3 linked regions of the Styela clava genome follow. The protein of the gene in region 3 purifies or fractionates together with the protein of the main gene of each other region. This does not show direct contact. Links are inferred from orthologs where the notes say so. Each region holds a gene or a part of one and is shown on either strand. Other genes may lie near its edges.

Region 1 (10,637 bases), on a different chromosome or scaffold from region 3:
TTTCATTAGTTATAGTGGTTTAGAAGTATGTTTTGTTTAATCGCACAATATTCGCGGACTTGTCAAGGTCTGTATAAAACTTCGCATTAAGGAGATGCAGTGACTCCTGTTTGCCTCTCCAATCTTAGAATGATGTAGGTGGGAGATTGTAAATAGATTTACCGCACCATAAAATCGTCTGACTATATATTTGCCCAGATTTTGTTATAATGTTAATCTTACTGACAGAATTGCTAATATTATTGCAGTTACATAAAATTCTAATTAATTACGGACTTTTTAAAATAAATAAAAGTAATAGCCTGCTAGCGAAAAATACAATCATTAAACACTGAAAACCTAAAAGCTATTGGTCCAGTAGTTAACTAGTTTAGGACTCATAATGAGAGAAGTGATTTTTTCATAGCAAGAAAAATACTAAGAAGAAAATAAACAAGAACTAAATCACAACAAAACGATCAATAATCTCACTAGATCTGATATTTCTTCCGAAATCTTGAGGGGTATTTGATACTGGTAAATTCGTTTTGGTCTTCAATGAAACCCTTTTATTAATGAATTATCGTAAAATATCTCCTGACAACGTACTTGATGATTTTCATGTATAGAAATGAGCCAATGATAAAAATCCACTAATTAATAAAACTACTGAATATTTCTTTATTTTCAATAAATATAGAAATGAATTTCTGAAAAACAAAAAAAAGATGAAGTCTTCAAATTGACGATATTTTCAATCTTTGTTATTGGTTTACACTAGATCAGTGGTTCTCAACCTTTTTTCTTCCTTGGCCCACTTTCGTTGCACAAAAAAATTCTGTGGCCCATTAACTTTCAATTGCAAGAAAATCAAATAATTCTTTCTGCAAAGATAAACACTCCCACTTTAATAATTAAAATGGAAATTAATATTTGATAGCAAAAAAAAAAAAAACCTGAATTATCGTTCATTTCTAATACAATCAAATTTGGCTAATTTATTAATAAGTCCAACAATTTTTAAGAGATTTGTGGCCCACTGGTTGAGAACCGGTGCACGAGATAGTGTTGCAAACATTGTTACTCCTGCAACACAATATTTAAAAGGAAGCAAGCAAAAAAGCCAGTCTGTGTGTCCTCTTGTGTATGGTTCCAGCCCTGGCTTTGGAACCAGCAATGGGACTTCGTCGCATTCCATGTGTTTTTTCCTAGTGTTAGATCTCATTAGAAAATCCATGCAAGCAATGGGTCTTCAGTTAGCTTGTGGTTCCCTTTCTCCCTTACATTGTTTTTCATCCATTTTCTTATATTTCATGATGTCAGAAAACACATTGGACATTTTACCAACTTTTTTGGTAACAGGTCGGTTGGGAGTACGTCGTGGTGTAAATTTCTTAACATTATCTTCAGGTTGAGTATCAAAGTCAAACTCAGTTACCTCAGATGGTACTTTTTCTGGAGTTTTTTCCAATGTTTCAGTAGTTTCAGGAGACAATTTTGCTGATTGCTGTTAAAACAAAAAGGATGAATCAGTGTTTACTGATGAAAAATGACATAAGTAGAAATAGGATCATATATTCATCTTGGAGAGGAATTCCGGTGAAACGATCTGATCATATATTACACCATCGCCTCTTATCCACTTGCCAGTCCAAGACAGGTAGAGAAGTTCACCTGTATCAGATGCATGGACTTTAATGGGTGATTAGCTGTTACATAAACCATCCTGCAACAGCGAGCAATCCATCAATCCTCTCACACTGTGTGTTGGACTGATGGCAAACACATTCATACCGCTTTGGCAGTAGGACGTAATCATCAACCTTCAGTAGGAGGAGAAAATGTACGGTCGACTCCAGACTCTGGGTTAAAATGAATTTTAGGCTCGACTCTGGGTTGTAAAAATTTAGAATTTGACTGTAGCTCTCAACTCGGAAGAAAATCAAATTTCGATATCAAAAACTTTTGCGTTTGCAAGGCTTTTCAACAGATGTTAAGAACGTTTGGTAATTTTGTGCATAATTTTGAGTTTGACTTATTTTATTATCATTGAAAATCGGTAATAGCCATCCTGACCCTTGGTAGTTACTAGTTAGAAAATACAACACCGGCGTTGACTCCAGTGAAAACACTTCGGACTCCGCAGCTTTGCATACAATGATATGAAATACAATGCTCTGCAAAGTGAATATATGTAGTCCTGAATAATATTTTATTGCATAAGATAACTTTTAAAACAAAATTTGAACAATTTTTTCATTTGAAATATAACTGGCTAACCATTCCCCAGCCAACATGGACTGATAACTGGAAAAAAGTCTGTGGTTTGCCATATGATTAAGCCACACTATCAGCTTTCCTCGCCCCAGGATAAATAAGACAAATTTGATTGGTCCATGCTTTCCGTTGTTGTCGGTGTCGGATGAAAACAATTTTATAGTAAGGTGAATACAGTCTCATCAATATTTTTAAATACAATATACTAGGGATAACTAAAAAATTCAACATTAACCTGGTTACACATACTCAACTTACCGAAGTTTCAGAATCTGGTTTTGCTCTGTTATAAATAGAAGCATCAAATCTAGGAATCTCCCCTTTCAGTATAGCTTCATAAAGATTGATCATAACGGATGGATCAGAAGGTTCATAAAATTCATTGTTCCCAGCATTTTCATCATCACTACACAAAACTTTCCATTCATCCATCTTTCGACATTACAGAATTAAATTCATAAGCATATAAATATTCAGAAGTAAAAGAACTGGATCAAAAAGAGAAGTTAAAACAAGACTTATTCTCTCATCATGATCTGTACTGTAATGATAAGCAAAGTATATTATAAACATTGCTTCTGTTTTGAGAGCAATTTCTCACAAAAGAAAGTATTTGTAAGTGAAATAAACTCAACAAACTACAGTGGTAGGTAAAGGATAAGTATTAATTAATGGTAATACATGAAATATGTTTAAGACAAAGCAAATCGAAAATTTTCGCAAAGTTAATCAAGATTCCAAGTACTCCCATTCGACCTAGCCTTTTTCTGCCAGCGCTTGCATTGACCACAAAAAATTGAAACAGTTATCTGAGCAATATTATTTCAAAAATAAAAAAATGTTTCAAATGTCGAATAGGTCATTGTGGGAGTTTGTTATTTTCATTAGTAATATTGACTTGTTCTACACTTGGCTGCAAGTTAGATTTTTCAATTTCTGATTCAACTTTTTCTTCTTCATGAACAGCACATGATGGATTTTTTACAATTAAATCATTTTGCCCAACTAATTCGACAAGGTCATTTTTGATCGACATACATTTCTTGTTTCCATCCCCATTCGCTTTATGACTTATATCATCAGCAGTTACACTGGATTCCACAGAAGTAGTAGGTTCTTCTTTTCCGTGAATTTTTGATATCACATTAGAACACAGTAGTTCCCTAATATTATACTTTTTGTAAAAATAATAATTTTTTACAACAGAAACCAAACATACAGTCTTCAGAACGTCAATAATAACTGACACTGTTTGAGATCTGCAGTTATATTTCCAACCACATTCCGAATCCCGCATTTTTTCATAAAGTCCATCAAGAACTTCCTTGCGAGATAAGTGACTATTATTTCGACACTTATACTCAATAGTAAATTCTTTTTTCATAACATCTTGGAAACTTTCATCCTTAAACTTATTTTCTAGGAAGGTAGGGATATTCTTACACATACTTTCAAGATATGCAGAACAGGAAAAGTCTATTGGATGCATCCTCAATACGTTCCTTATTGCAGGTAAACTGTTGTCAGCGTTGTTATCGTTTTGATGAATTGTTTTCACAACTCTACTCAGAAAAGGTCCAGGACTAATATCTTTATGAAATCGAATAAAAATCAGGTTATTACATCCACTTTTGACTGCTGTAAAACGCCTTTGTTCCGAAGAGTTTCCTTTAGCAATGGATTTAATCTCATTCACTTCATTAGATAAAATGCTGGCAATATCTTCATCTTCCGATTTGCTTTCAGCACCATCATCTGCTAAATGAAACAATTTCATAAACAAACACTACAATTCTAGAACTAGGTTTTCTTCAAGTTTTGATAACAATATATGACACATAATAAGGTATTAGAATTAAATTACCGCTCAGATACATGGGCATGCAAGTAACAATACAATTGCCAGATTGAATGTAGTATAAAAACTATAGCATATTTCTACAACATTGTAAAACTTACTAAAAGCCAAGTTTATATTCATATTTTGTTACTTATTCAAATTTTGATTTACCATTTTCACTCTCCTTGTTCAACTTTTCAGGTCCAAAATACTTGTCCGCGAAATGATTCAGCAATCTAAAAGAATCGAGTCTGCAAAACTTCTCTTTATTACGATCATGTGATATGAGAACTCCTTTCATTCCTGCCTCAAGTTTTGAATATCCCCCACCACCACAATATTTTGCTTTTTTCCCCTTTCGTATCGACTTATTGACAGCAAACTTGCGTTTTTCAGACATCTTACCAAAGTTTACACTCTTACCTGGATTATGGAAAAAATTGCCAATGCCAGAGTCAAAACGATTTGTGTAAAGTTTGTTAATCGGTGATCTAACAGGAATTGACCAAAATACATATAATACAAAAGCACAGAACAAGATAATAAAGACAACACCAGAACATAAACAAAGTCAGAAAGTAGGCACAACAGCACAAAGACAGGAAAACATAAAGAAGGAGCTGTAATCGGAACAAAGAAGTTTGGCTCTTGGGATGAGATTTTCATATCTTCCGCAATGGAGAATAAAGATGCTCAGACGGCTTGGCTTAATCATATGGCATCCCACGGTGTACAAACTCACGCAGCTCATGCCCAGTTACAATACCGGTACGGTAGCCTACTTGTTTAGGGATCCATGGCAGTTATTTAAGTTTATTTCGACACCATAATAAGCAAAAAACCATAGGCTGGTAGGCGATAAAATGATTGATAAATGCAAATAAATAACAGATAGACTACAATCTACATGAACTTTACCATGCCCATTTGCCCCCAATAGAATAATAGGCAACATACGGTACAACAGTCTGACAGTACATAATGAAAACAATACTGCAATACCGTATAAACACAAGATACTGAGACTGCGAGATGGTAGCGGGGTCTCGTGTAGTTTCGTACTCAACATACTTCTAGTGGGCGTAGCATAACAACTTTTTGATATGTCAATCCTAACCCCCATCTGACTACGCCAAAAATTACGTCACTACGACATCACAATCACGTCATAGAGCTTGGCATCGCCCCGACAATAAAGAACTGACTACTAAACGGTTCCATTACATTTGAACCCACGACAATTGCACCTGCGTACTGTACTCATGGAATTTTTTTTTGTTTTACGGGTATTTGAACGCATACTACCGGAAACCCTAACCCATGGGTTTTAGCACCCGCATATAGATTGAACCCCCCCCCCCCATATACAGATGGGTTCAAACGTAAATATATACTTTTAAAGGTGCTCCCGAAGTATGCGAACCAAGATGGCGGACATCGGAACGTAACATGGGTAACAGGTTAGGGTTAGGCGATAATTTTTTTCCAATTTTCCTTATTTTAGTCCTATTATCAGTTCGAAGACTAGCCAAGAGCCTCCCGTAGTATTTATACCTAAAATTATGGCCTAACCCTAACCTAGTACACATATTACATTCCGATGTCCGCCATCTTGGTTCGCATACTTCGGGAGCCCCCTTTTAAATGTACGTGGGTTCAAATGTACGGTCACCCGACTAAACACTAACGTCATTGATCTCTCTCCAATTTTGATCGTTGCGACGAGAAAACGAAAGAAATAGCTGTTTGAAACTACATGAGACTCCGGTACCGCCAGTCGTCACTTCAGACCAGAGCCATCATATAACGGCTCTGGTCAGACCGCACTAACAGAACTAAAAATATTTTACTGTAATATAAACGTACATGAACATGAACTGTATGAATGTTTTGAATCAAAATGATAGTTTGAAACAAACATATATATAGGATATAGCAGTATAGGCTGAACCAGTTTATAGGCGCCAACTCGCGAAATCACTCTTAATAAATGGGCACAAAATTTTTTGCAACGGTAAAGCATAGTTTACCATGGGTTTGGTATTATATATACGCTTTGGGTCTGGGAAAAACTGTCCGGGGGTCAAAGGTTGGGAAAACATCCATACGGGTCCTAACATGAGCATGAAATGTATCATTCCAGTCCTTAAGATCATCAGGTTCCCAATAAAAAAAGACCCTTGGATAGTAAAAGATATAGCATATATATAATTTTCCTGTAGATAAATTAATGTATTTAGTATTATTTTCTTACCTCTATCAAAGCATAAAGGCGACGTAAATTAGCGTAATGATAAAAACAGTGTAATTATCAATTCAAATGTTAATTTATTGCCAGTTGAATGGCATAGTTTTTCAAATTTGAAAGAATTTTGTTTTGTTTGAAACAAGAATGGACCTTTCCCCGAGCAGCGACTTCCTTGTTTACTTCGTGACATTGGCCAATCAGCAAGATACAAAAAATGACGTAACAATGCCCCCTTTACGCATCCGCTCAGACACTTTTCTCACTCAGACAGATTTTCAAACGTGGTTGTAAACATTACCTCGTTTTCGCGTTTTTGAACTCTATTCGTTAGTTTTCAGTTGTGTTTCGGAAACTGAAATAAAAATCAGATAATTCAATGATCACTCTGTCTTCCTAGGAGTTTAAATTTAATTGCAGTAATAAAAATTAGTGTAGAAATAGCTGTGATAGACTAGCATGAAATTCTTTACCGGTACTTTTAAAACACAGATTGTTGTATGCGATGAATCATAATGATGGTTTGAAACACATACCCCATTTTACAGGCGCCAACTCGCAAGAGCACTCTTAAAATATCCCTGAAAATTTTGCAATGGTAAAGTATAGGAAGAATTTTTCGGGGGTCAAAGGTCGGGGAAAGGTCCATAGGTAACGTGTTTATAAAAAAAAAAAACTAATTTAGTTTTAAAGCATTTTAAACCTGTTAAATTCTGAAAGACGCATTAAATTTGAAAACGAATGAATTGAAAAAGACCCAGTCGTTGAAAATGACAGATAGTTCAAAAAGCCCTATCGTCTTTTTCCGGAAATAAGACCTAGCCCGGAAAGAAGAACTGGCCTGAATTTTAAAAATGATTTTAATACAAGAGAGCTACGCACAAATATATGGACACGTCAGACCAGAGCGAATCAGTCCTTACCCGTACCTTTGACGCTACCGGTACCCTCAAAAAAGTTCTGAATTTCCAGTAGCAAGAATTTTGCAGAATCAAAACGTACAGCCAGTCATGACACTGACTAAAATCCGTGTTCCCATGTGAGACGACCACGTCTATAACCCTGTTTTATTCTGTTCGCTCATATTTATTCTTACCACTTGAGTCACTAGTGAACAACTGTGTAACTTTCTCTTGTAGCTGGTTTGTCAGACTGCCGGCAGTGTAGATATTCCTCTATATATTAGATTATTATTATAGTGTTCAATGCCGTAAATCTATGTAATTCTTGTTGTAAAATGATATTAGTAGTACAGGTTTACTATTTCTCTAGTTTGACATAGCTCTGTTCACTAGTTGGCTTGTATTTACCACTTCCGTAACTAGTCTACTTTCGCAGTTTATTTCCTGTGTGATTTCCGTATTTCTATGCGTATTTCCATGTCTATTACGTGTTTGTCGATAAGATAGGATTTGTGTTGTATTTTTAGTGTCATACTAGTTATTCTTATGTATATCTAGGTATGTTTTACCCGGTTTTTGGTATCCCATTATAAGTAAATAGTTCATGACTGTGACGTCATAGACTAATTCCGTATCTTGTGTTACGTATGTATCCTACGGTATTTGTACTGTGTTTTTCATGTTTTTATTTGTTTATTGTATTTCTGATTGGAGTATTTGGTTGTATTAAGTTCTTACAGGTGTATAATTAATCTAGTTAGTTAACTTCTACTCTTCTTACTCTGCTGTGGTTGGAACCGCAAGAAGATTATTTTGTGATCGACATCTATTGCAACTTCAGTGTCCAAGAAGCTGGCAGAAAGAACCTGAGTGGTGATATCAATTTTGGTACGCCACATATACGAATTTTTGGCGAGCACACGCCAGGATATATTATTTGACACAGGGACTATTAAGACTAAGCCGATTAGGTAGGCTAGTCTGTGACGGATAATATTTGGACATTTGAGGTTGCCGAATTTTTTTTCAATTGCGGTTGCCTGATATTTTGAAAAAATGGTTAAGAGAAGAAAGATTGTACCGGCACCAAAGGAAGCCAAAGAGGAGAATGAACTTTTGCATCTGCAAATACAGGTATTGAAGGCGAAATTGAGGGAGTCAGAGGAAAAGCAAGAGGAGACTGACAGCCGTTTGCAACTGATAGACAGTCGTGTGCAACAGATTGGAAGTCAACTAGAATCAGTTGAACTCCAGAATGCGAAAATTGGCTCATCTTTTGAACATGTTTACAACATGCTGCAAGATATTTCTGGCGTGGTTAAAACAGGAAAAGTTGCTGATTCTGAAGAAACGCAGCCCATGTCACATGTCCCAGATGTCAGCTTGATCACTTCAACACCCGCAACGGTTGTTCCAAAAGCAGCGCCTGTTCTCAAGCATGATGAAATTTCTGATTTTGGATCAGAAGATGGACAGCCAGAAGTGAAGCGGAACGCGTTCTCACAGACATTAGAAGTGAAATTTTTGGAGAATGGTCATGTGAGTAACCTTGCACCTACAATTCCTTTTTTGAATGATAATGGTAATGAGGGCACAAATGTCAGAAGGCAACTTAGTACTAGGCCGAAAATGGTTACAGTGGCTACACAATCAGCTCCTCCAGTGAGCGCTAGTAGTGTCTCAAATGCCAATGTTAGCCGTAGTGTTCTCAATAGCACAGCTAATGCTACGATGATGGCGAGAAATGCCAAAAAGCCAATGTATTTCGATGGATCCACTGTCATGACGTGGCCCAGTTATTTATGCCATTTTGAATTGGTTACCAGTTATAATCAGTGGGATGACGACACTGCAGGATTAGAATTGGCTACTTGCATGACAGGTCAAGCTCTAAATGTGTTGAAAGATTTACCAGATATGAAACGTACTAGCTATAGTGATATTGTGGCTCATTTTAATCATTATTTCAAACCTGCCGGAAATGCGAGCTCATATCGTACTACATTTCATTGTCGTAGGATTAAGCCAAATGAAGCGCCACGGGATTATGGTAACAAATTGAAAGAGCTTGTTATTCTTGCTTACCCAAATCTTGATATTGCTGGTCAAGATGATATTTTGAAATCGCAGTTTCTCGCCGGTTTAACCGATGAAAGCATGATCAAACATGTTACCATGCAACAGCCTGATACTTTTGAAAGTGCACTGTCTCTTGCAACGCTGTATTACTCTGTTGATACTAACCACTCTGAGAGAAGAGACATGCCTAAACCTCGCATTGCCGCAGTGAAACAGAGTAACACTGGTGATGCAGCTAATCAGCAAACCGACCTTTTTCAGTTTCTCGAGAGCAGTTTTGAGCGACTTGTAGCAAAACTGGATGAGATCATAGGATATGTTAAGCCACGCGCTAACATCAATCGCAATTTTGATGGTGTACCACGCAACCCGTGTCCTCGATGTGGTAAACATGGTCATTGGGGCAGGGATTGCAAGGCATGTTTTAATTGCAAGCAGACTGGTCATCTTAAACGGGATTGTCCACATCTTCAGAATCCCGCTGATCCTGCAACAGCTGCTTCCTCTTCGACCGCAAATTTAAACGACACTCAGCGGGCTTGAGGTCCTCAGTGTCCGCTGAATTATTACTTGATGACGGACCAACGAACCAGAATATAGACCTGAATATTTGTTCCTTGCAATATGACAATAGTTGGCATGCGAAGGTACTTGTAAACAATCAACCGTTCAATTTTCTTGTAGATAGTGGTGCTATGACTACTCTGATCGACATTTCCATCTTTGAGGCTATAGGTGGGAAAGGAGCACAATTAGCACCGCTCGAAGAATCTCTTGTTGCAGTGGGAGGACATGATTTATCACCACTGGGTACATTGGAGGTTGATTTATCGATTGATTCGTTTGTATCACGACGCACTGTGATTGTTGCCAACTTAGGCACGACTAATGGTATTTTAGGCATGGATTATCTCCGAGAACATGACTGTGTTCTTTACTTATCATCTGGACACATGATGATAGAGGGTCATGAAATCAAACTGTTTACTGAAAAGTCTGTACCGTGTTGTCGTGTAACTGTTCGAGAAGATATTACTATACCGCCATATTCTAAGGTTGTTATCCCTGCACGACTTAGTCGCCCATGGCCGAAAAGCATTGTGTCTGACGTTGCAGCTCTTGTCGAACCGTTGAATTCTTCTTTCCTTGCTGATGGCGTTCAGCTGATCTCTTCTGTGGTGGATCCTGGAAAGTCCACTGTTCCAATTCTTGCAGTCAACCAGAAAGGCAGACAACTTAAGATCAGGGCTGGATCTTTGATTGGTATTGCACATCCTCAACTTGTAGCACAAATTCAAGTTGACGAATCCGATAA
Region 2 (11,298 bases), on a different chromosome or scaffold from region 3:
CCCGTCAAAAGGTTGCATTAAAATATTAATATTATATTGAATTATTATATATTTCATATATTGAAATATTCATATTATGGTCTCATAATCATCTGTATTGCGATTTAGAATACAGAACACTGGAAAAAAGTAAATACTTTTATAGTATATCAAGCGAGTCAATTTATTATCAATTAAATTCCACTCCAGAAAACGTTTTCAATGTGTCCCTAGTTTCTAGCAGACTACTCCAAATAAAACTCTTCAAAACATTGGCATTGGGTCCTCAAATCTCATAATCAAATTGCATAATTCAAGTAATTAATCCAAAAACTGTGATAGATAAATGAGAAGTCAAAAATTTGAAATAAATACTCAAGTTCATACCTTATTTTTCTTCCTTTACTTGCTTTTGTGTCAACATTTTTCTTTGCTTTACTCCGTAATCTTTGTACTTTTAACCATTGCCTTGAAAATTATTTCAAATTGGAATTCATAAAAATCTTTAGTGATCACTTTGACAAGACAATTTACCACCACAACACAAAAATATTTCATTTATTTTTTATAATTTAGGAAAGCAATATTCATGGTACTTTTAACCATTGCCTTGAAAATTATTTCAAATTGGAATTCAAAAAAAAAATCTTTAGTGATCACTTTGACAAGACAATTTACCACCACAACACAAAAATATTTTATTTATTTTTAATAATTTAGGAAAGCAATATTCATGAATAGACATTCACTAAAACTATTGAATCATTTTCATAAAATTCATCAGATACCTTCAATGCATGATCAAATTTTATGAAAAATAAAAATTAATTTTCAATTCAATTAAATTTTTATATATGATATTGCTACAAATATGTACAAACCTCGTAAGTTCAACTGGATCTGATGAACCTCCAGGTCCTGATGATTTTTGTTCAATGAGTTGTCGAAGTAACTGGTGATAAAAGTCATCGTCATCATAGATTTCAGGCAGATATTCTTTTAAATGACTACTGTGGTTGTCGGCATCTTCAACAGGTGTCTATTGATTGAAAACAAAAGCTAAAGGGCAAAAAGCAACAGTTGACAGGGATGGGTGAAGTCAATAACATAGACCTGATATGAGTAAAGGACTGAAGCTTGGCACACAACTCTGTTCAATTATTCGTGCCTTCTTTGATCTTAAGGCAACATGATACTAAAATAAATTGTCTTTGAAAAACAAATATATTGTGAATTATATTTATTAGGACTTTCCATTTTTATTCCAAGGTAGAAATTCAATAAGACAGCATATCCATGTTGCGAACCAAAAAAGATTAATGCCCAATCACCAGTCCAGATCAGCTTTGGAAATAGCTGAGTTACCCGTAATTATTCGAGATTGATGGATACGGATGCTGAAGGAGTCAAGACGTAACCAGCTTAGGAATCCTTTCACACATAACTCCTTATACCAACATCTCAAACCAAATTCTGGACCAAAAATTTAACATACTAAACCACAATATTTCACAGACCTCTAGTTTATTAGACTGAGTCGTTCCCAGTATACGATAGTTCGTTCTTTTCAATTGTGTCCGCTTGATTAATCTTTCACGGTCTTGTAATATATCTTCTATCTGAGAAACTGTCGACCGTTCAAAATTTGAGAATGACTGAAATATAAAGAGTCATAATTGTTATGAAAGAGGTAAAGTAAAACATTATGATATTCTTAACTCTACAAATATGACGAATACTGATTTACGTATGTATACCTTTGATTTTGATGTCGCTGTTAATCTTGTTTTATCATACCACAACTTCAGTACTTTATTCCTATGAGTTTTATATGAAGTAAATCTGTCTTGGATCATATCATTCACCTCTTCCATCGACGTTGTACTTTTCCGCTTGTTATTACTATGCATAAAAAATAACAATAAATTTAGAGATGACTACCCACAACATTTCTATTGATGTGTGTCAGTCAATGGGAACATTACACAAGATATATCTCTTCAATGTGCACTGTGATTTTGTAGTGTCATTCAAGTCCCAAGCATTATAAAATAAATAGAGCAATATGATCGCATAATGTTACTGCTGCAACAGCAGATCCAGACGATTAAAATTTCAATATACCAGTGCAAAAACTTCAGATTTTGATGACGATAAACTTGGAGATACTTCAATAAAATTCATTATTTAATACTATTGAAAAAAACTAACAATTTCACATACTAAAGCTAACGTATCACTGAGATTTAGGTACCATGAATGTATTCAATTTAGGGTTTTTGACAATAAACATACCTGATTTTAGAATCTGCTATTGACTGAGTTTCAGGATTTTGAGTGAGAAGTCTCCTTTCTAATTCTAACAATTTGTATAAAAGATTAGACAAAATTTTATCCGCAGATGAAAGAGAAGCTGGTAATTCAGTTTTAAATAGTTCCATCTTATCATATTGAGGTAATCTGTTAGATATTGTAAGTATCTTCTGAAATTTGATTCGAGCTTCAAGCATATTTTCCCACAAACCTAAAAAATATAAAAAAAATTCTCAAAAAAACAAATTGAATTTATTCGCAAAGTCAAATAGTCAATATCTGTCTGTTCACATCTATCATTTGTTTATGTTTATCCTCGACAAAGAGCATCGATAACTTTGAACTAACAGTAAAAAGTGTGCTCTTATACAAAATGTGAGGTAAGCAAACAGAAAAGTTATGGCCCTACTACATTGTGCAGCAAATGAAATTTTAGCGAATATACCGTAGATAAGTATTGTACAATACATTCAGGTATCGTTTTCGTTATATGACGTCTTTCACTTTAAACAAAGCTCTATACAAGTCTCTATTACACCAATATGTAAACAGCTGCTTTTTTCTTAAGGACCTCAATCATTCACCTTATTACACCCTGAGTGAGGTGGTGATCATAGGTTCGAACCATGGATCTTTAATGCCAATATAGTTGAGCCCAAAACTCTAGCCATCATAGGGCTTCGCTCTAATGATATAAGTATGACCAAACAATTACATAATCCAATCAATTTGTCATTCCCATCAAAAATATTGTCCAACATTAGATGAATATTAGAATTAACCAGATTGGCAGATAAAACTAACAAATTTTAATTAATAAAAGAAACGTAAGTAATCTCACAAAATTGATTTCTAGTAGCTCTCGATTTTAATAATGGATCAGCCTTTTTCCTATTTTGAAATATTTTTAAACTGTCATCGCCATCTCCATCGGCTTCATCAGAATCAATTTCTTCATCCATTCCATCATCTTCATCTAGCATAATGTCTCCAACTTCACTATTATAGCTAGTATCACCATTCATTTCTCTGCATTAGTAGTGAAAAACATATTCAAATCAAGAATTTGGATACAGGATGTCAATAGATATAGAAAACAACATAATAGAAGTAAAAGAATATACCTCTCAATATCTTCATCAGTTTGATCATCTCCACTGTCAATATTTTCATCTTCAGCATTCCCATTCTATAAATAAATTGCAATTATATAAAACACATTCTAAAAAAGACATTTTTCATCACCCAAACTTGACAAATGATAAACTTTTGTCCTAGCACATGAATAAATACAGCCAACCTACACTACCAAACTATATTATCAACAATGACACGAGGATAACGATAAAATCAGGTAGAGATACTAATAAATAAATAAATGCTTTTTTAGACATAGTGAAGTTCAAGAAATGCAAAATTTTTTCCTTATACTCGGACAGGATCGAAACAGAGGATGAAAAACAATTATAGCGCAATTTTTATCCTAATTCTTGCTGTGGCTGCACACTTGCACAGACTATCTCGTCTATGATATGCACTAACTGGAAAATATTTTCAGTCAAAAACACCTCGACAGCAAAGATATTTGATATTCTCATAAAGACTAAAAACGATATTTGGAGGTCATGATATTCGAATTACAAAAGAATTCTACTATCGTACATGATTTTTCTCACTATTCTTGACGATACAGAATAAAACGGAAATGTAATCTAAATACCTTAATGCACTTCATGATAGCAACAATATTTACCTCCAGTTCAATGTTATCTTCATTGCCAGACTCACTTCCATCACCATCTGATGTTTGATTCCTTGATACAACTTTACCCCTATATAGCTCTCCCATGCCTTCGAGCGACTGCATTTTTCTTCGGCCAATTCCAGGAACATGTTGAATAACTGTTCCATCTTCAGCATCACTATTCAAATCATCTTTCTCTACAACTTTAGCTCTGGTTTCTAAACAAAAATTCTACCATGTAAAAATACAACAATTTTCATTAGGTATAGATAGTCGTAATATATCGTTTTACTTAGTTCGTCACTTCAATCATGGAGTAACATTTCGGTCAGATATGCTAAACCCATAAAGTACAGTCATTTCAAAACTGGGTAGCACATACAGTTATTAGTTTCTGGCATTACTGCATTATATAAAGTAGAAATGCAAATATCAAACAAAACAGATGATCTATATATATTTTAATTCAAGAAATTCAAGAACAAGGAGTCTATGATCAAGGATACAATTTTTCTAAACCAAAAAAATCTTCAAAACAAAATTGAAAGCCTTTTAGGGAGAAGTTTCAATCTCCGAATAATTGAAATGTGACAGTGATTCAGTAGTTGAAGAGAAAACAATTCAATTTATACCAACCACAATATTCACAAACAATGTTTGAGTAATAATAATAATACTGGGTCACTGGTTACAGCAGGGGTGCACAACCTTTTCTCGTTTGACGGGGGCATTACATTTTTGTAAAGCTGACTTTTTCAACGAGTGGCGTCATCGCGATCAGGTTTCGAACAATAACTTCTTTACATAAACGCCAAAAAAATCTAATTTCATCTGGAATTAAAGAACCGTTTCTCTGTTAACGATATCCCGCTTTAGAGATATGAAAGAATATTCAGAGCTGTTACTTTTTTATAATACTGATAATTTATTTCCATTACAGACACAAGTAATGATATGATTTTTCGTAACACTCAAGCGCCAACATAAAACATAAATTATTTTTCAGTAACACACCAGCACAGCTGCACATTTTACCTGCGAAAGCCGCATGCGGCCGTACGGCTGCAGGTTGTGCCCCCCTGGGTTATAGCGTTCAGTCAAAGAATATTATGAGTATGTAGGTACCCAGCAACTCAGTAGCAAGCCAAAAAACACCCCTAAATGGTCAGGTCTATTTAAGTCTTTAGGTGCCATAGCACAACCACAACTGTAGAAGTGCATCACAGTTTTAGCAAAAAAATGTGCATAAAGTGAACAGTAATGCATTGAGTGTTATATCACAAGTACCTTCATAAATATCATCTTCTGGGTCAATGCTCTTCACACTCGGATCGAAAAGCCTAGCAAGTTGTTCAGCTAAAGATGTCATGATGACATTTAAAATTGTTATGTATACTTTAAACTTGATTTTGTACTTGGTTTTCTAAATAAAAAAAGCAAACATTCAATAAACTGATAAAGGTCGATACCCTTCGATTGACATTATTAACAAACATTTATGAATGCCCAATGTAAAATTTCAGATAGTGGCAGTCTCCATGCATTTTAATGAATTTTAGGAGAAAAGAACAAAAACTCTTGAGAAAAGTGGGTATGTAAGTACTTTATTGGATTTTATCGTCACAATCATTAATTCAACAACTTTTTATTGTAACATTCAGAAAATTCAAACCTAAATATCAGAATTATGAGATCAGTTACAGAAGAGCATCCATTTGAACTACAGTACCAGTTTGTGGCAAAGATGTGACTAAATGATACAAACCACAATCATAATCAAATATAAGAAACTCCATTCAAAGGCAAAAATTCCAAAATATGCACTCATTAAAATAATACGGTTACGACAAATTACACATTCTATACTTGTCTATCCATTTATATATACACAAATCAATTTACAAAATAATGATATGAGAATATCACTTTTAACAAACAGACATTCAACATGATGAAAACATTGGCAAATACAGTAATTCTCACAAGTTCAACCTTGAATTTTTTTATGATCAAAGTAATGCTTATAACTTGATAATATATAGTTAATATTTCTTATAATTCGAATCTCCACCCTTTCGCTTTTCAATAATTTGATTGATTTGCATCAGTTCGCGATTCAATTTTTGTTTTTCATTCTGCTCCTTGGTTCGTCTTGTTTTTCGACCTCCTGTCATTTTTATTCCATACTGGAAGGCAGCTTTAGGCATTGCTTCTTTCTGAGACATGTAATTACTATATTCTTCTTGAGTATCAAAGTCCCATCTTCCAACTGGACCTTTCTTACTACCTTGATCCATTTTACTGTAATCTGCTTCATCATCACTATCGTCTCCTACGCCTGATAAATTGTATTGCGCTGATGGATAGCATTCCATGTAACTGTCAGATGCCCCCGCTGTGCCAATGAGTGGATTGCCTTTGCCAGACTCTTTCTTTTGCTTTTTAGTTTCTTTGGTTTGGTCTGGTTGTGACGACCCTGCATATTTTTCATTGACATTTTTTACAAAATTTTTCACTGAAGCAGCAACAGCTTGTTTTGATTCAACCATTTCTTCTTCCATTTTAGGTTTCTCAAAATAAGAATGAGCATTTTTTGCAGGCTTGCTTCTGTTCTTTTTTAGAGTAGGAACATATTCACCAATATCATCAAATATGCCCATGTCTGCTTCAATGGGTCTTTTATGTGGCCTATCATTTTCAGTCTTTATCTTTCTATCTTTCTTCTTTCTATGCTTTTCGCGAGCACCTTGACGTAAATATGACAATATCTGAGTCAGTTTATTAATAACAATATCGTTAGTTGATAATGTTGTTTGAGACTCGAGTGTTGGGCAGTCTGCTTTACTACGAAGCAGAGTAGTGGGAATATCTGTGTCTGCAAACTCATCATCGACTTGAAAAACGTACGCCATTCGTCCCGGCAAAAACAATTCATTTCTTAGTTTCATTTGAGGCTGGAAGACAAGTCTGTGTATGTTTTTTGCCATTTTTGTTTTGAACGTAACCACTTCTTTCTGTTGCTGCTGTTGTTCTTCTTTCGTGTTTTCTATGTCTTCAGATAAAACTTTATCAAGTTCTTCGTCCTCTCGTTCTTTTGTCGATATCTCAGCTCGAACCTTTTGTAAAAGAGCGAAATCGAGACCTTTTACCAAGTGAGTATGAGCCATGTCACCTCCAAGATATTTTGATTCTTGGATGACTTGTCTTCTTTTCTCAGCGGAAGTTCGGTCCGCTTCAGCACTTGGGCCAACGGTTTTGTAATTAGCAGTTGTATTGATAAGATCAGATTCAGCATAATCTCCTTTACCTTCTCTCCTCTCTTTTGCTCGATCTCTATATTTCTTTTGAAGTTCAGCCTGCCTTTCCATTTCTTGCTTTTTAAGTTTTGCATACAAACTTTTCTTTTTTCTTCTTTTTTCAGCAGCCGATTCATGATCTTCTGAATCAAATTCTGATTGGGACGCTGAGACTCGTTTTGCTCGATCATCGTGAGTTTTTTCACCACCAGCTTTAGGGGTCGTCAAAAATTTTCGAAAGTCTGCATTGGTTAGAGGTTGTTCATTAACATTGCCATCAGTCTCATGATAATGCTCAGGGGGCAGAGGATTAGAAAATTCTTCATTTGCCATAATGCTTTATTGATAAAATTAGTTCAACAGTATTTATAAAATATAAAAAAAAAAATGAATGGCTGAGTATTGAACTGTCACTGACATAACGGCGCGGCGTTGTGGCTCAACGGGCTAAGCGTTAGGAATACGCTCGCCACCGCACCTCTAATTACTCTGCGTGGGTTCGCAGGTTCGAATCCCATGCAGGGATGGTTATGTGCGAGAGGATTGCTGGACTTCTCGCCGTCGTTGGGTGGTTCACGTAACCGCTGGTCGGTTACGGCTTCCTCCACCACCAAGTCCATGCTTCCGAAAACAAACAATATAACTAATCCCATACCATACCCGACTTGGAATGGTAACCGGACGAGAGGCCGTGGTTCGCCATATGAATAAGCCTTCTTATCGGCTTTCCTCTCCCCCGGGATAAATAGGTAAATTCTATCCTATCCTATAACTGAAAGAGATTCCAGTTTAAATGAAGATGGATGGCTTAAACTTGTATATGCCGATTTCCACGCTTTGTCGCGTAATGCAATGGTGGTGAAATAGTATCGACACTTTGATTGTTCATTATCTTCTGTGCGAGCGTGCGCCCTTATTGTTGCGACACATTTGCATGGTCGCAAGATTGGCACTATCGCCATCCCCTTGCAATGCTTCTAATTTACGGATTCATTTGTATTAAGTCAAGGAAGTCACATAAATACAAATAGTCAGATAATAAATAAGTTAAATAAAGTCGTGCACTTTGTTACAAATTACAACACCCAATAAATTGTCTCATGTCTTAAAAAACGAGTTGATTTATTGGAAAAAATCCTTTAAACATTTTCACACTTTTGGCAAATACCGTATTTTGATAATGATAGTCAAAAGTATCGACTTTTTATTATGATGATTTTCCGTTGCGACAAAATATTCAAATTCATGAACAATAACAGCATTTAAAATGCCTTGTCGTATTAATTTAATTTTGTTTAATAATTAACCTAACTCGTGGTTGCGTCAACTAACGAAAAAATAAAAGTATTACCGACAATCTGCAGCATTGAATGGTGTGGTGCACTGGCCAATTATAATTAATTTTTTAAACCTATTACAGTACTTACGAAAAACAAATATTGATACAACTCCAAAATACCACGGCAATCTGTGGACATAAAATGTGTGGTTGACTGCCCGATTAGAATTAACTTTGATTTATTAATTCGTACTCACGGAAAAATAATAATTTTGATAATGATAGTTGAAAGTATGGACTTTTAACTAAGATGATTATATGTTGCAAAATATTCAAATCCATGACCGACAACAGCATTTAAAATGACTTATTGTTATTGTATTAATTTAATTGTTTTTAACGTAACACATAGTTTTGCAGACTCGCGAATAAATTAATGCATTACTACTCTAAGATACGGCGACCATCTGTGAACATAAAATGTGTGGTAACTGCTTGATTATAATTACAAAATACAAAAGCATTACAACTTTAAAATAACGCGGTATCTGTAGAAATATAATGTGTGGTAAAATGCTGGATTATAATTAATTTTTGATTCACACTTTCGTACTCACAAAAAAATAATTTATACCTTTACCCACTTTCGGCAAATAGTTTTGATAATGATTGTTAAAAGTATGGAATTATCGGTTGTGCAAAGTATTTACCGTAAATCCATGACTGATAACAGCATTTAAAATGCCTTCGTATTAATTTACTTTTGTTCGATGTAGCCTAACTCATCAATGCCTCGTCTTACGAAGAATAAAATGTTTCAAAATACCACAGCAATCAAAAACACAAAACTAATGGTAAACTGCCCTATTATAATTAATTTTGATTCGCACTCTCGTACTTACGAAAATAAAAAGGGCATACTACTATAAAATATCACGGCAATCGGCGGATATAAATTTTCTGGTAGCCAGCTTGTAGGTAACGGTAATTCCATTGTTTATTGTATGCTAATTCCGCCATAAAGATAAGCTTGCATTTATTTTCGAAGTATTCGAAACTTAAATAATAATTTTGAATGTATTCGAAATAGTAAATTATTCGGTATTGGCCATCCCTGATGCCGTTTGAAATTTGCTCAATTAGTTTCACAATGTTTATGATATGACAGCACAAAATGAATATCCATGAATGTGGAGAAGGGGCAACATTTTTTAATTATGACCGACTGCACTCCTATGGCCTGAAGTAACATCATTGAATCAAATGTCTCAATGTTAAATGGCGGATAAACAGTTCACCAATCTGCCAATAGGATATCTGTATAACTCAAAATAAATAACGCCATTTCAGCATTTGGTTAATAATTTCTGAATTTAGTTTAAATCAGAAATAGAGTTTGCTATTGGGGCATCATCGAATAGATAGGTTAGATTTTACGAGAAAAAGTTTAGGAATATCAAATATGTCCTGAAGTCACCTCAGGATTGACACGTGAAAAAATTGTTATGCTACGCCTACTAGAAGTACGTTAGGTAGGAAAGTAGGGTGGCTTACCCACTTTGCGACCATCAACTTCATCGATTAAATTAATGCCGAAAAAATTAACGAACCGCGACGATATTTCTCACACGTTATCGTCCACTTATCCCTCGTAGCTCTGCGAAAAGACACTAAAATGCGGCCACAAATAAAAAAGTTACGACCGAAAACCTGACCGAAGAAAAAAAACGGACCATTTTACCATGTCGCCAACTACCCATTGTTCCCTCAAAAAAGCTTGAAAATCCATACAAATATAAGAGATAAAGAGATGAAACTTGGCAGGTGGGTAGAGTTGTGTTTCTTTCAACCATCTTTAAAGTTTCGCGTTTCTACCTTCAAAGGAGGGGGAGTAGGGGGGTGCGCATTTCCAATACGTCAATAATATCTTTGTCAACTAATTTGCGACCACCGTGTTTTTGTCTGTTTGATTGTTGTGATGCGGTGCTTTGTTTATAATTTGAAGAATTTTGTTTGAAATAACCGTGTTCTTAAAATATATAACGGTCAGAAATGCAATTAGAAGCCCATTTTTTCACGCATGGCTGCGTATGCCCCAGTCTCGACACAGCAGAAACGATGTTCAAGGCTTGAAATCCGTGATCGCACACTGGTCGTTCGGTCGCAAATACGTCTTCAGAGTGTCGTACTTTGGTGGTTTGTATAGCTTTAACCCCTGGTCGTAGAAAGTTAATTCGAAGTTCAGCGTGTAGAATAAATGCCAATGCACTTACGGTGAAAAAATTAACGGGTTAGAAATATTGGTTTTTGTTTTATAGCGGTTTGAATGAAATCGTCCGCAGATTGGCTACACCACCCTACATGAGACCCTAATTTTTCTAGTAACACTAAGTGTAAATAATGACTTACAATAACTTACTGTATTCAGATATTAGTATGTACCATAGCCCAGTAGTCTCATATTACTGTACCGGTATTACAGTATTAACTGCTGCTGTTGCCAGACTGCAGTATTGTGATCACAACATGCAGATATGCATACCATACACCTCTGTGAAGCTAGCAGCAAAACACGAAATTGTGACTGACAGAATCGCAGAAAATACCCACGCGTAAAATTAAATGTTCCCAATGATTTTTATAAGAAAGTGTATATTTTGATTATTTTCACAATAGCAATTAAAGCA
Region 3 (11,659 bases):
AGATGAGATTGAGAGAAGAAATCTACAAAAAAATATAATTTATTTAAACATAGAATAAACCAGAGATTTCAGAAAATGTGTTCATAGAGCCCTGTGTTAAATCAGGCTGATGATGGGCCTATAAGGTGAACTCAATAAATTGTAAAAAACCCAAATTGAAAAAAAAAACATGGTTAGAATATATTAAGAACTGACTTCATCATTACAAAACAATTAATTGCAACAGAACTTCATGAACACCATGTATTTCAGCAATTCAAATACTAAAAATTCAATCAGCAAAGTTAATCTTGTGATACCTAAATTAGGATTTTGCTATATTTTTGTTGAATTTTAGAAACTGAAAGATTTGAGAACACCAGGAAACAAAATAATTAACTTGGGATTTATCATTTTTCTTACCTTTCATTAAATCTTCCAACTACATCCTGGTGAGATTCTGTGCGAAATCGGGAATGAACATCCTGAAAATAATTGTATGCATGAATAATGTATATGAATTTGTATTTATTTGATTAACATTTTCCATGGTTTTATCTCTAATGAAATCAGGGGCGCAGCCAGGGGGGAGGTTACATGGGTCGTAACCCCCCCCTTTGGGATCTTTTTTTTTTTAATAGTGTTACGTTTACTTGCAATAATTTTATTCTTCGCGTTATCACTTTCGCCCAGCGTCCTAATTTATTATTTATGTTTACGATTCGTTATCGCTGTTACGCGGCAGTGGATCTAGCTGCCAGCGGGGGGTCACGGAAGTGACAATCTACACTAAACATTTTTAAATACAAATGTACTACCTTTCACTTGACACAAATAGCAACGGACGTATCACACTATTGCCGTCAAAACTATTCCACAAGCGCGCTCTCGCCTCGCCACATTCAACGCAACCATACTTTTAATCACATACATTATCGTTGGTTATCGGCTTATCGCTAATTACGAATTTTAGTTATGTAGTGCATCTTTAACAAGCGATGGCACCAGGATCATAAGCAAATAACAGACAAAATGAATTATTGGAAATGTATGGTTCATTAACAAAGGATTGCCAAATGTGGCAGCATCGAAAAAAGGTGTCATAAAATAATATTCAATCTTCGAAAACAAAGCATTGCAAAATAATGTTCAATCTTCGAGTAAAAAGTATCGTAATATAATGTTCAATCTTCGGGAAATTTTTTTTTAAAGAATAATGTTCAATCTTCGAGATTTTTGGGTAGCAAACTCGTCCAAGACTCGTTTGGAATCGTCTGTCTGCGAAAAGCAGTTACATGCGTTGTCTTCCAGATCTTTTCAATAAACTGGTAACAATATGTTATTAAATTATAATTAAATTATTATAGTTAAATTATCGCTGAAAGTGAAGAAGCGCTATGATCAGAATGCAGCTATCACGGGCGCGGGATTTCAAATTCGCGACGATTTCACTTTCAGTAATATAGGTCTCGATGCATTGCAATAAAAATTAGAATTTATTAACAGTTAATTGCAACAAGCAAGAGTTTTACATTGAAAGACGTTCCCAATCAGTACGATACATGAGCTTGTTTTTAAATGATTGTAATCGTTTTATGAAGTTATAAATACGGGAACATCAAATATATTTATTTTGGAAATGGATTGATATTTCGTGACGCACTCAAAAATAGTTTATGAACCATTGGCATTTGGCAAATATCATTAATTTATGCTATTTCTTAATGTTTCATGATTGCTAATATTTCATTCTATTCTTATTTTACATTTTTTGCGGTATTTCAATTAAAATCATGACGATGGCATTTTATTTAACTGTTGACAATGGGGTAATAATCGGCGATTACTAAAAGGTTGAAATGGGACATGCCAAAACAAAATAAACGAATTGACGCCTGTCAAAGGGGGCAGGGTCTGGCGACAAATAGCCACATGTGTCTGTGTTTCTCTATCATCGGCATTTTCGGCATCACTTTGAAACTCTAAAACGCAAGGACACCCCGCGGAGTGAAGACTTTCTTTCGCATAGAGAAATATTTGAATTACGATTGCTGAATAAGCGAAAAAAACAAATGCTTATTTTCTTGCTTGAAACAACGATAAACCAATTTAACCCTGTTGCCAAAAGTACCGGTAATAGCATGCATTATTAACAAACTGGTAATAATATGTTGATAAATCGCCGCTAAAAGTAGAGAAGCGTTATGTGCAAATATCACAGGAATTTGAATTTGCGACGAATTCACTTTCAGTAATATAGTTAACGGCGCATTGAAATGAAAAGTTGATTGATTTTTTTTGACCAAAGAGAATGGTCGGCGATTGCTGAAAGTAGGACATGCAAAGAAAGGCTAATGAGACACAGCGACGCACATGTTGTTTTGCCATCGTCGGAACATCTTTTTAAAGACCTATAAACGCGTTTTTATTTCACCGTAACCCCCCCCTTGAAAAAATCCTGGCTGTGCCCCTGAATGAAATCAATTTGTTTTGCATCCATTTGTCATACACCTCTACTTGTGCAGATCTGTTATTTTGCAATAGCATTTATATTAATAATAAGTTGTTTTTTAATTAGGGAATTTAGTTGAAGGAGAGTCTCCCAGGGAAACGGTGGAGTCTTGCTACAAACTGACACAACTTTATTTCTGTAACGTTTTGTCTGACCTTGAACATTACAGAAATACATTTGTGTTAGTGTGCAGCAAGACTCTTGAATCACTGGGAATAGTTATCCTCACTTTTTTCATAGCATCTTTGCATTATATGCATATGAATATACCGGTGTTAAAAGCACAGAACGTTTAGTAGTTAGGCCCGCAGAAACCCAATCAATCACATAAATTTTTTTTCTCTGCTTCACAATTTATTCATACAATATTCTTTCTAGTCGGACACAAAAGCAAAAATAAAACTCACCATCGTCATTGTGTATAGCTGTTTAAGAGATTTCATTGTTCTCATCAATATACAAATTATTCCTCCCCCTTCAACTGTTTCAATTGTTCTCGCTAATAAATTTGGTGTGAGAGCTTCAAAATCCTATAATAATGGAAAATCATTATTAACATGTAACACAACAGCATATTCACCTTTTACTCAGCTTAGGTTACCTGGAGTATACACATCCCATACGTATTTCCAAGAATTTTGTGTGTTTCATTGTAATAACAATATCGAACATTAGTAGCAGCAACGAACAATTCAAAAGGATCATCTTCATTCACATCAATTGTTCCACGAGAAATTCTTTTCTGCAGATGTCTCATGCGCTTCTTACGATTTCTGCAAAAAGGTTCCTTCATTAGATATAGTCTCCTGATACTGTTATAACTCAGTTTTTTACTCCACATATTTTCGCTAACAGAATTTGTATGAAGTGATGAAAATACTCTATAAACTTTATATTTTTATTTAAGTATATCAATGGCATGCAACTATTTATACTACACAGACTGCCAAATCATCGACGACTCGTACTGTAACTAACAAGAGTGTTTTGTAAAATAGTGTTACATGATATTGACTATTGTACTCTTTAATTACTGCTAAGGTGCTTGACAAATCGGGCAAACCAGACCTTGATTGCATTGAACGATGAAGTATTTCGGACACTGACTGGTGTCGAATTCAAAAATGTTAATAGTGCTGTTACAAATAAGAAAAAGTATTCATAAATAATGGGATACGAAGTCTGTTATTGGTCACGTAAATAGGTTCTCTTGGACGTACCTCGACCCCCTGGCAGTATGTTGCACGCCTCTGGTATAGATCATCGCACAGATATATTTGATGACAGTAGTATAAATATTTAAATTACACGAATAAACCATACTTACGTGCTGAATCCGAGCTCTTTTTTATAGCACCACAAAACAGATGGTCTTGCTCTTACTGCAGCTTTTGTTAACATATGATGAAGAATAACAACCTGATCTCTTCCTTTATCACCAACAATTACAAACATTGTTCGATGCTTCAGAGCGACTCCATTTTCAACTAGAACTCGAATTCTGTTGTCAATCTTTTTACGAACCATCTTTGTATACTCTTATCGCAATGCTAGTAATGACAGAATAAATAAATTGTGATACTCGTCTGAATGAAAACTAATTTAAGAAAAAATAAATAAAAAGTGTTTGTATCACAGTACTAATATCACCTTTCTACCCAATACTTGAGAGCAAATTTTCATGTATATAATGAAGCCAGGAAAGATATTGAATTGGAAAAAAAAAAGTTGGCATAACGGTGTGTATGGCAGTTTGCTTGCCAGGTAACCTAATGAAAAAAGTTGAAAAGTATACAACAATACAGTACAGATTCTCAGATTCCAAGAATATCCCCACATTAACGAAGTGCATCTGGAAACGACACCATTAGATTCCTTGAAAAAAATAATTAATTTACCGTGATTGATTCAAATTTTCATTTTAACAAGCGTGGCGCGATCTGACACATCTGCCGTCATGCCTGACGCCCTTGTTTCAGAGACAGATGGAGTGTTCGTTTTACTGATACCAAATGTCGGAGTATTTTGGAATCGGAAAACTGTGCCTTACTGGATTCGAATTAAGAACTGAGGAAGGAGAGAATTAGCATATTTATCCCGCGATCATGTGAACTACTAGTCATCCAGTCCAGCGATCTTCTCTCCATTCTCCAATATATTTATCCCCAACGAAATTCGAACCCATGCATGGTGAACACTAGTGCGCGATGGCAAGTGGACCATATTCAAGTATTCATAAGGCATAGCATAGGCTAGATAGAATCCATTTTAATTCATTCGCAAAAAAACAAGACAATACAGATAGCAGGATAGACGTGTTACCGCACCGAAGAAGCAGAACAAGTCGCAACCCAAACAAAAAATACAGACAGTGCAGCAGTGAGTCATTACTCACACGTCTCACTTCAGAACTTTGTAATCCGGATGGGTGAAATTTAATTGGGGACAAAACATTGCACTAAATACCGAAATTTGGAAATAGCTGATGCGCATGCAGGCGGAAAAATCATTTGTAGATTCAGGGAAAATATAATCGAAGTGTGAATGCATGTTTGTTTTTTATGCTTGAGAATCAAAAATAAATGTGGTAATTACCATACAGTACAGCAGTAGGGTGGCCCACCCACTTTGCGGCCACGACCTATTTGCGTCCATCAACTTCATCGATCTAATTAATGCAGAAAAAATTAATGAACCGCGACGATATTTCTCACACGTAATTATCCACTTGTCCCTCATAGCTCTGCGAAATTACACTAAAATGCGACCACAAACAAAAAAGTTACGACCGAAAACCCAACCGAGGAAAAAAAAACGGACCATTTTTTCATGTCGCCATTGTCCCATTAAAAAAACTTAAAAATCCATACAAATATAAGAGATAAGAAGATGAAACTTGGCAAGGGGGTAGAGTTGTGTTTCTTTTAACCATCTTTAAATTTTCGCGTTTTTACATTTAAAGGAGGGGGAATAGGGGGATGCGCATTTCCAATATGTCGATAATATTTTTGTTGACCAATTTGCGACCACCGTGTTTTTGTCTGTTTGATTGCTGTGATGCGGTGCTTTGTATATAATTTGACGAGTTTTGTTCGAAAGAACCGTGTTCTTGAAATATAAGACGATCAAAAATGTAATTAGAAGCCCAATTTTTTTTACGCATGGCTGCGTATGCCCTAATCTCGATGCAGCAGAAATGATGTTCAAGGGTTGAAATCCGTGGTCGCAGACTGCAGCACTGGTCGTTTGGTCGCAAATACTTCGGTGGTTTGTATAGCTTTAACCCCTGGTCGTAGAAAGTTAATTCGAGGTTTAGAGTGTAGAATAAATGCCAATGCACCAGCGGTAAAAAATCAACGATTTGAATGAAATCGTCCGCAGACTGGCTACACCACCCTAGGCCCCAGACTGGATTCCATGGCAGATGCACGCCCGAAGGCGCTAGCGCTCCACAAAAATGCACGCGAGCGAATTCAATTTTGCACGCCGAAAATTTGCAATTGCTCACCAATGTAAATCGGTTTAAATAGTTTTTAAATCAATAATCTAGTAATACTGTAATATAAAGATGCCAAAAAATTACAACTTTACAATTGTCGACTAATACTTGCTTGCAAGATTTGGCCTGATCGAAAAATGCGAACCAAAAAACACCATATCGTGTTGAATGATAGGAATCCCGTGAGAAAAATCGCCTCCTCACGCTGGCCAGTTATGGCTCTGATTCAGCGTATTTTTAATACAATAATTTTACACGAATGTACTGAACAGTACCGGTATCTAAAGTCGCACAAACACTCTCAAAATTAGTGACAAAATATAGAAATGATGTTTGGGGGTCATAGGTCAAACGTCCATTTTTGCTATGATTCAACCTATTTTTTATCCAATACTGGTAATTTTACGCGGATGTATTGAGAGGTATCTTAGGTCGAAATCAGTTTAGCGGGCTAAGTTGTTTTGCACGCCGTGAGCTTTAATTGCACGCCAGAAATTCTTATTTGCACGCGGGAATTTCTGATTGCACGCCCGATTTCTCGTTCGAAAAGGCCATGAAATCCAGACTGGCCTAGGCCTAGTATTAACTGAAACGTTCAAACAAAAATGTAAAAAACGATAATAATACCTAATAAAATACCTAAACTAGAATGGAGAAACGATTTCGGCACTGCAAAAACAAGATTCCAGGCTATGTCTCGAGCGAGTTCAGAAGTTGTTTGCGACACCATGCTGCCATGCGCAATTCCCAACATTAAACTCAATTGAACAAGACTGCAAGATGTACCTGTAGGCTGTAGCCTACCATACATACCGTATATCCCTAACACATACATTCAAATACTATTTTTGTTTATTGAATAAGAAACACCAAATTGCAGAATTGAGGTAGTCTATTGCAAAATTGCATCCTAGCGCTAAAGCGTAAACAAAACTCCCCCGGGATAAATATGTAAATCCTATCCAAAACATACGAACAAATGCGCACATGTCTGCATGTGGACACCAGACATGCTTTGCCTTCAAGCGCAGAGAACAACAACAAATTCATTGCCGGGTTCAAAGGTCGTTTTGCTTCAAAGGTGGGTTATCACGCAAACATTTTTGTGGCAAATTTGATTCCATATATTTTTTCAAGATTTTTGACGTTTACCGCTTGCATTAAGTAGACTTCGTTTGCGAGACTCAAATTTTTCAATAATCGATCCTGCCGAAATCGAACGCAAATTAGAATTTCCCGTTGATGACGTGCATTTGTTGTAGCAATATTACTATCATATTTTCCAGTTTATTAATTACGGATTAACGCATACCAGGCTATTTTTTGTCTTAAATCATATAGATTTTATATTTTGTGTGGGTGTATTCTGCTTTCCTGATTATGTAACCAGTCCCTTTGTTATACTGTCGGCATATATAGACTATATTAGAATTGGCCCAATGTGCTTTCAAACACTAGCGAATGCGTAGACTGCAAAATTCACAGTGATGGGTTTCTCCCGAAGCACGAAACAAGAAGGAAACTATGGATTAAATCTTCTCAAATAACCTGTTCTAATGTTTCCTTGGAACTAAAATACGAACTCTAATTTGAAGGATCGTTTTAGCCTTAAAATTACGTTGAAGTCCTTATATATTTGAACATAATATTATTTTGACCATACAATATGACGATATAAATAGAATAGGATTTACAAATTTATCTCGGGGGAAAGTAAATCCGATACGACGGCCTAATCATATGGCAAATCACTCCTCTCGTCCGTTTACCAGTTCATAACGGGTATGGGATAAGTTAATCAGGTATTCAAATAGGATAAGATTTATATATTCATCCGGGGGAGAAGGGAAGGCCATGATACGGCGCAATCATAGGGCGAACCACGGCCTCTCCTCCGGTTACCAGTCCATCGGGTATGGGGTTAGTTAGCCAGTTTTTTTTTTTCGGAAGCTTTGACTTGATGGCGGAGAAAGTCATAACGGTCGTAACCGACCAGCTCTATACAGCGAAGATGAGTCCAGCAATTCTCTCGCACATAATTCGAACCTGCGAACAAACGAAGGATAATTAGCGGTGCGGTGGCGAGCGTATTCCTAACGCTTAGCACGATTCGCCACTCGGCCGAGAATTCTGAACATTTCAACGACTAAAGCTGTAAAAGCTGAATGGATCAGGAAATGCATCTACTTGGTCCACGAACTGATCACAAAAATTACAGCCAGTATTAACTACAGCATGTGTATTGGAACCATCATCATTATTCTACTCAACCTGCCAGAAATGATTTTTCTGCAGCGAGGGTATATGAAAACTTGAGAATATTTTAGGTTCCATTACATTTGAACCCGTGTACATTTAAACCCACGTACATTTGAACCACGTACATCTGAACCCACGACAATTGCACCTGCATACCATTGCACCTATGGAATTTTTTTTGTTTTACGGATATTTGAACCCATACCAACCCTAACCCATGGGTTGTAGCACCCGCATATAGATTGAACCCGCGGATATACACATGGGTTCAAATGTACATACTTCAAACGTACGTGGGTTCAAATGTACGGTCACCATATTTTACAATATGTTGCGGTCCGTATTGACACTTTGACCGAAAACAGGATTTCATATATTGTTTTTGCTTCGTCCATTACACTGCGCTTTCCTGCTTTCCAGATTGCTGTTCAATTCAAAAACAATGACTATTAAGTAACATGATAGCCGTAGAGGGAGGGAAAAATGCAGGGACAAGAGGCCGACCGCCGTCTGGTGAGGACGTCTACTTCGAGCCAAAGATTTTGTTGGACATGAAGTCGACTCGTTCATCGTTTCGAATCGAACAGTTTGTTGAAGTTTTCATAGTTTTGCATTTGTCTGGATATGAAGTGGACTCATGGGTTGTCTCGACCCGCACAGTTTGCTGAAGTTTTTATTGTTTTGTAATTTACTGGATATGAAGTGGACTCATGGATTGTTTCGACCCGCACAGTTTGCTGAAGTTTTTATTTTTTGGCATTTGCCTGGATATGAAGTGGACTTATGGATTGTTTCGACCCGCATTTGCTGAAGTTTTTATTGTTTTGTAATTTACTGGACATGAAATGAAATCGTGGATTGCTTCGACCTGTACAGTTTGTTAAAGTTTCCATTGTTTTGCATTTTACTGGACATGGTCATTATGTAGCCTATCTTCACTAAAAAATTGCACCATATGACAATCACGACCACAAAAAATCTATTGAATTTTCTAGTTCTTACAAGGTGTTGACTTGTTCTTCTTTTGATCGATGTTTGCATGTCTTAAATTGATTTAAAAGTTATTGCCCAATTCTGTATCGTGTTTTTCATTGTGTTATCTGACTATTTTGGTGGACGGGCATGTACTTGTACGTTTTGAACTTTGTTCTTAAGTTATAGTCGTCCTCCAGGTCCTCTGCCTTTTATTGTTTGTCCGTTTGTTGTTGTTTCGTTTTATTCTTTGGTGACATAAATAAAATTGATTAAACAAGCCTCAACGCTTGTCGAATCATCCATAAAATTCTGCAAGATGGGGTGGATCAATGGGTACAACACTCATATCTTTGGTGCGATATTATCACAGGAATTTTCGTATACGATGTGGCGGTTAAAACAACCAATGTATTTAGGGAAATTTTTATGATACAGTATTGTTATTTAAAACGAGTTTTAATTTACATTTAATTTTTAAATCACAATTTACATTTAACCAATTGTGACGCGCGACCGCGCTGTATTGGTATAAAATAATTCATATTATCATTGTCCATTTATTTTACACACTATTTAGCAGTGGCGGGGGGCAATAGGGCCAACCGGGGCAATGCCCCGGTTGTTTTTTCGGTATAATAAAAAATATTCGAAAAATACCTCAATATCGGTTGCACAGACTGTCTACACTAGCCATATTCTCCCGACATGGTTCATTTTTCGCTCGCAAAGCCTTCGCAGAACGTCGACTGGGCGACGCCGATTTTGCCCCGGTTGCTCATGGTATATCGTATTCTCTCTTTTATCTTCCACTCGCCGCGTTTGTCTCGTTTGTTTTCTGTTTCTTTTACTAAATCACCGGGGCTAGCCCCGAAATTATGACGACACAATGCCGACGTTTCTTACAACAACGTGTTGACATATTCACGCATTCCTTCTCGTTCGTTGGTTGCTTGAAGAGTTGATAGTTTTCTCGCCTTCGTTTTTGTCGCTTGTTTCGCTATTTGAATCAGTTAGAGACCCTTAGTCCATTTGCTTTCGATTTTCCACATTCCTTTTGAGCTCCTCACTTCTTTCCGGCTTCGCATTTCTTAGCCTTAGACCTCATAATGAAGAAGGTTGATGCACTACTTCGCACTCCGTTTTCGCAGCTGCCGCTGGAACAAAAATTAGAGGTACAACGTCTTGGGCCTTATCAACCGAAAAATTGTTCACTGGAACAATCCCATGACGGAGGAAAGCGGCGGCGTACATTCTGCGCAGAAACTTGGTATAAAAAACACGAATGGTTGTGTTACAGCGAGGACAAAAATGCACTTTTTTGTTTTTATTGCCTACTTTTCGCTATCGCCCGTGACTCACGTTGGTGTAAATTTGGTTTTAGAGATCTTAAACATCTTTCCGAGCGTGCCAGGGATCATCAATCTTCTATGGAGCAACTGGACAATACAGTAAAATACCGAACATTCGGAAATGTTAATATTGCAGCACAGTTGGATGAAGGACGCGCGGTGTCTATTCGTCGGCACAACCAAAACGTCGAGAAAAACCGCCATGTTCTCGGTCGATTGATAGATGTTTTGAAGTTCATTGGTTGTCACGAGCTGTCCCTCCGTGGGCACGATGAACGGGCTGGCTCTTCTAATAGAGGGGTATTTTTGGATATGGTGGAATACACCGCATCCCTAGATACAGTATTGAAAGATCATCTTGATGCCGCAACTGTTTCGAACGGGACATCTAAGGATATCCAAAATGATTTGCTCGACTCAATGTATAAAATTTATTTACAACATTTGGCTCTAGAAATTGAGAATTGCCAGTTCCTTTCGATTCAGTCTGACGAGACAACTGACATCACGTGCGTTTCCCAACTGGCTGTGATTTTTCGGTTTGTGAAAGATGGTAAACTTACCGAGAGATTTCACAGCTTTGTACCAATCGTTGATCGCACGGCTTGCGGGATATCGGCTGTACTGAAAGAAGTGTTACAGCCTTACAACGCCAAGTCAAAATTGATAGCTCAAACTTATGACGGCGCGGCAGTCATGAGTGGGTCGAAACATGGTGTTCAAGTTTATATAAAAGAAGATTTTCCTCATGCGCATTTTTTACATTGTTATGCATACCAATTTAACCTCGTTATTAAAAATATGTGTCTTGATACCCCTCTCGTCCGTATATTTTTTGCAAATGTTTCGGGGTTTTCTTCATTTTTTTCCGTTTCGCCGAAGCGCTCTTACCTCCTTCGCCAGATATGTAGCCGCCCTCTTCCAGCTTGTGCACCAACACGTTGGAACTTCCAATCACGCGTGGTGCAGGGCGTGTCCGAAATTAGGTCTGAGCTCATTGAGTGTTTCAATGGCATTCAGAGCTCTCCGGTTTGGGACGAACGCTCTGTGAGGGAGGCGGCAGGTCTAAAGCGTCTGCTAGAAGAT

Evidence for each region.
Region 1: the proteins of RNA cytidine acetyltransferase-like (region 3) and THUMP domain-containing protein 1-like purify together in Homo sapiens (co-immunoprecipitation; 3 studies listed by BioGRID and IntAct, counting the BioPlex papers as one, with this or other methods). This does not show direct contact. The link is inferred for Styela clava from reciprocal best matches to the Homo sapiens genes NAT10 and THUMPD1.
Region 2: the proteins of RNA cytidine acetyltransferase-like (region 3) and protein AATF-like purify together in Homo sapiens (affinity purification with mass spectrometry; 3 studies listed by BioGRID and IntAct, with this or other methods). This does not show direct contact. The link is inferred for Styela clava from reciprocal best matches to the Homo sapiens genes NAT10 and AATF.

The regions. Positions count from the first base shown.
Region 1 is NC_135260.1:12,200,551-12,211,187, forward strand, and holds THUMP domain-containing protein 1-like, read right to left. Parts: upstream 5,050-10,637; 5' UTR 4,497-5,049; coding exon 4,268-4,496; intron 4,015-4,267; coding exon 3,116-4,014; 3' UTR 2,745-3,115; downstream 1-2,744. Other genes in the region: uncharacterized protein LOC120347505, read right to left, coding at 1,232-1,486, 2,515-2,688. UniProt on the Homo sapiens protein: Functions as a tRNA-binding adapter to mediate NAT10-dependent tRNA acetylation modifying cytidine to N4-acetylcytidine (ac4C).
Region 2 is NC_135257.1:13,444,659-13,455,956, forward strand, and holds the start of protein AATF-like, read right to left. Parts: upstream 5,460-11,298; 5' UTR 5,406-5,459; coding exon 5,324-5,405; intron 4,255-5,323; coding exon 4,046-4,254; intron 3,482-4,045; coding exon 3,417-3,481; intron 3,322-3,416; coding exon 3,134-3,321; intron 2,504-3,133; coding exon 2,275-2,503; intron 1,882-2,274; coding exon 1,737-1,881; intron 1,635-1,736; coding exon 1,497-1,634; intron 1,019-1,496; coding exon 861-1,018; intron 448-860; coding exon 367-447; intron 1-366. Other genes in the region: protein Red-like, read right to left, coding at 6,079-7,665. UniProt on the Homo sapiens protein: Part of the small subunit (SSU) processome, first precursor of the small eukaryotic ribosomal subunit.
Region 3 is NC_135261.1:20,261,013-20,272,671, forward strand, and holds the start of RNA cytidine acetyltransferase-like, read right to left. Parts: upstream 5,759-11,659; 5' UTR 4,019-5,758; coding exon 3,819-4,018; intron 3,265-3,818; coding exon 3,093-3,264; intron 3,022-3,092; coding exon 2,899-3,021; intron 465-2,898; coding exon 403-464; intron 23-402; coding exon 1-22. UniProt on the Homo sapiens protein: RNA cytidine acetyltransferase that catalyzes the formation of N(4)-acetylcytidine (ac4C) modification on mRNAs, 18S rRNA and tRNAs.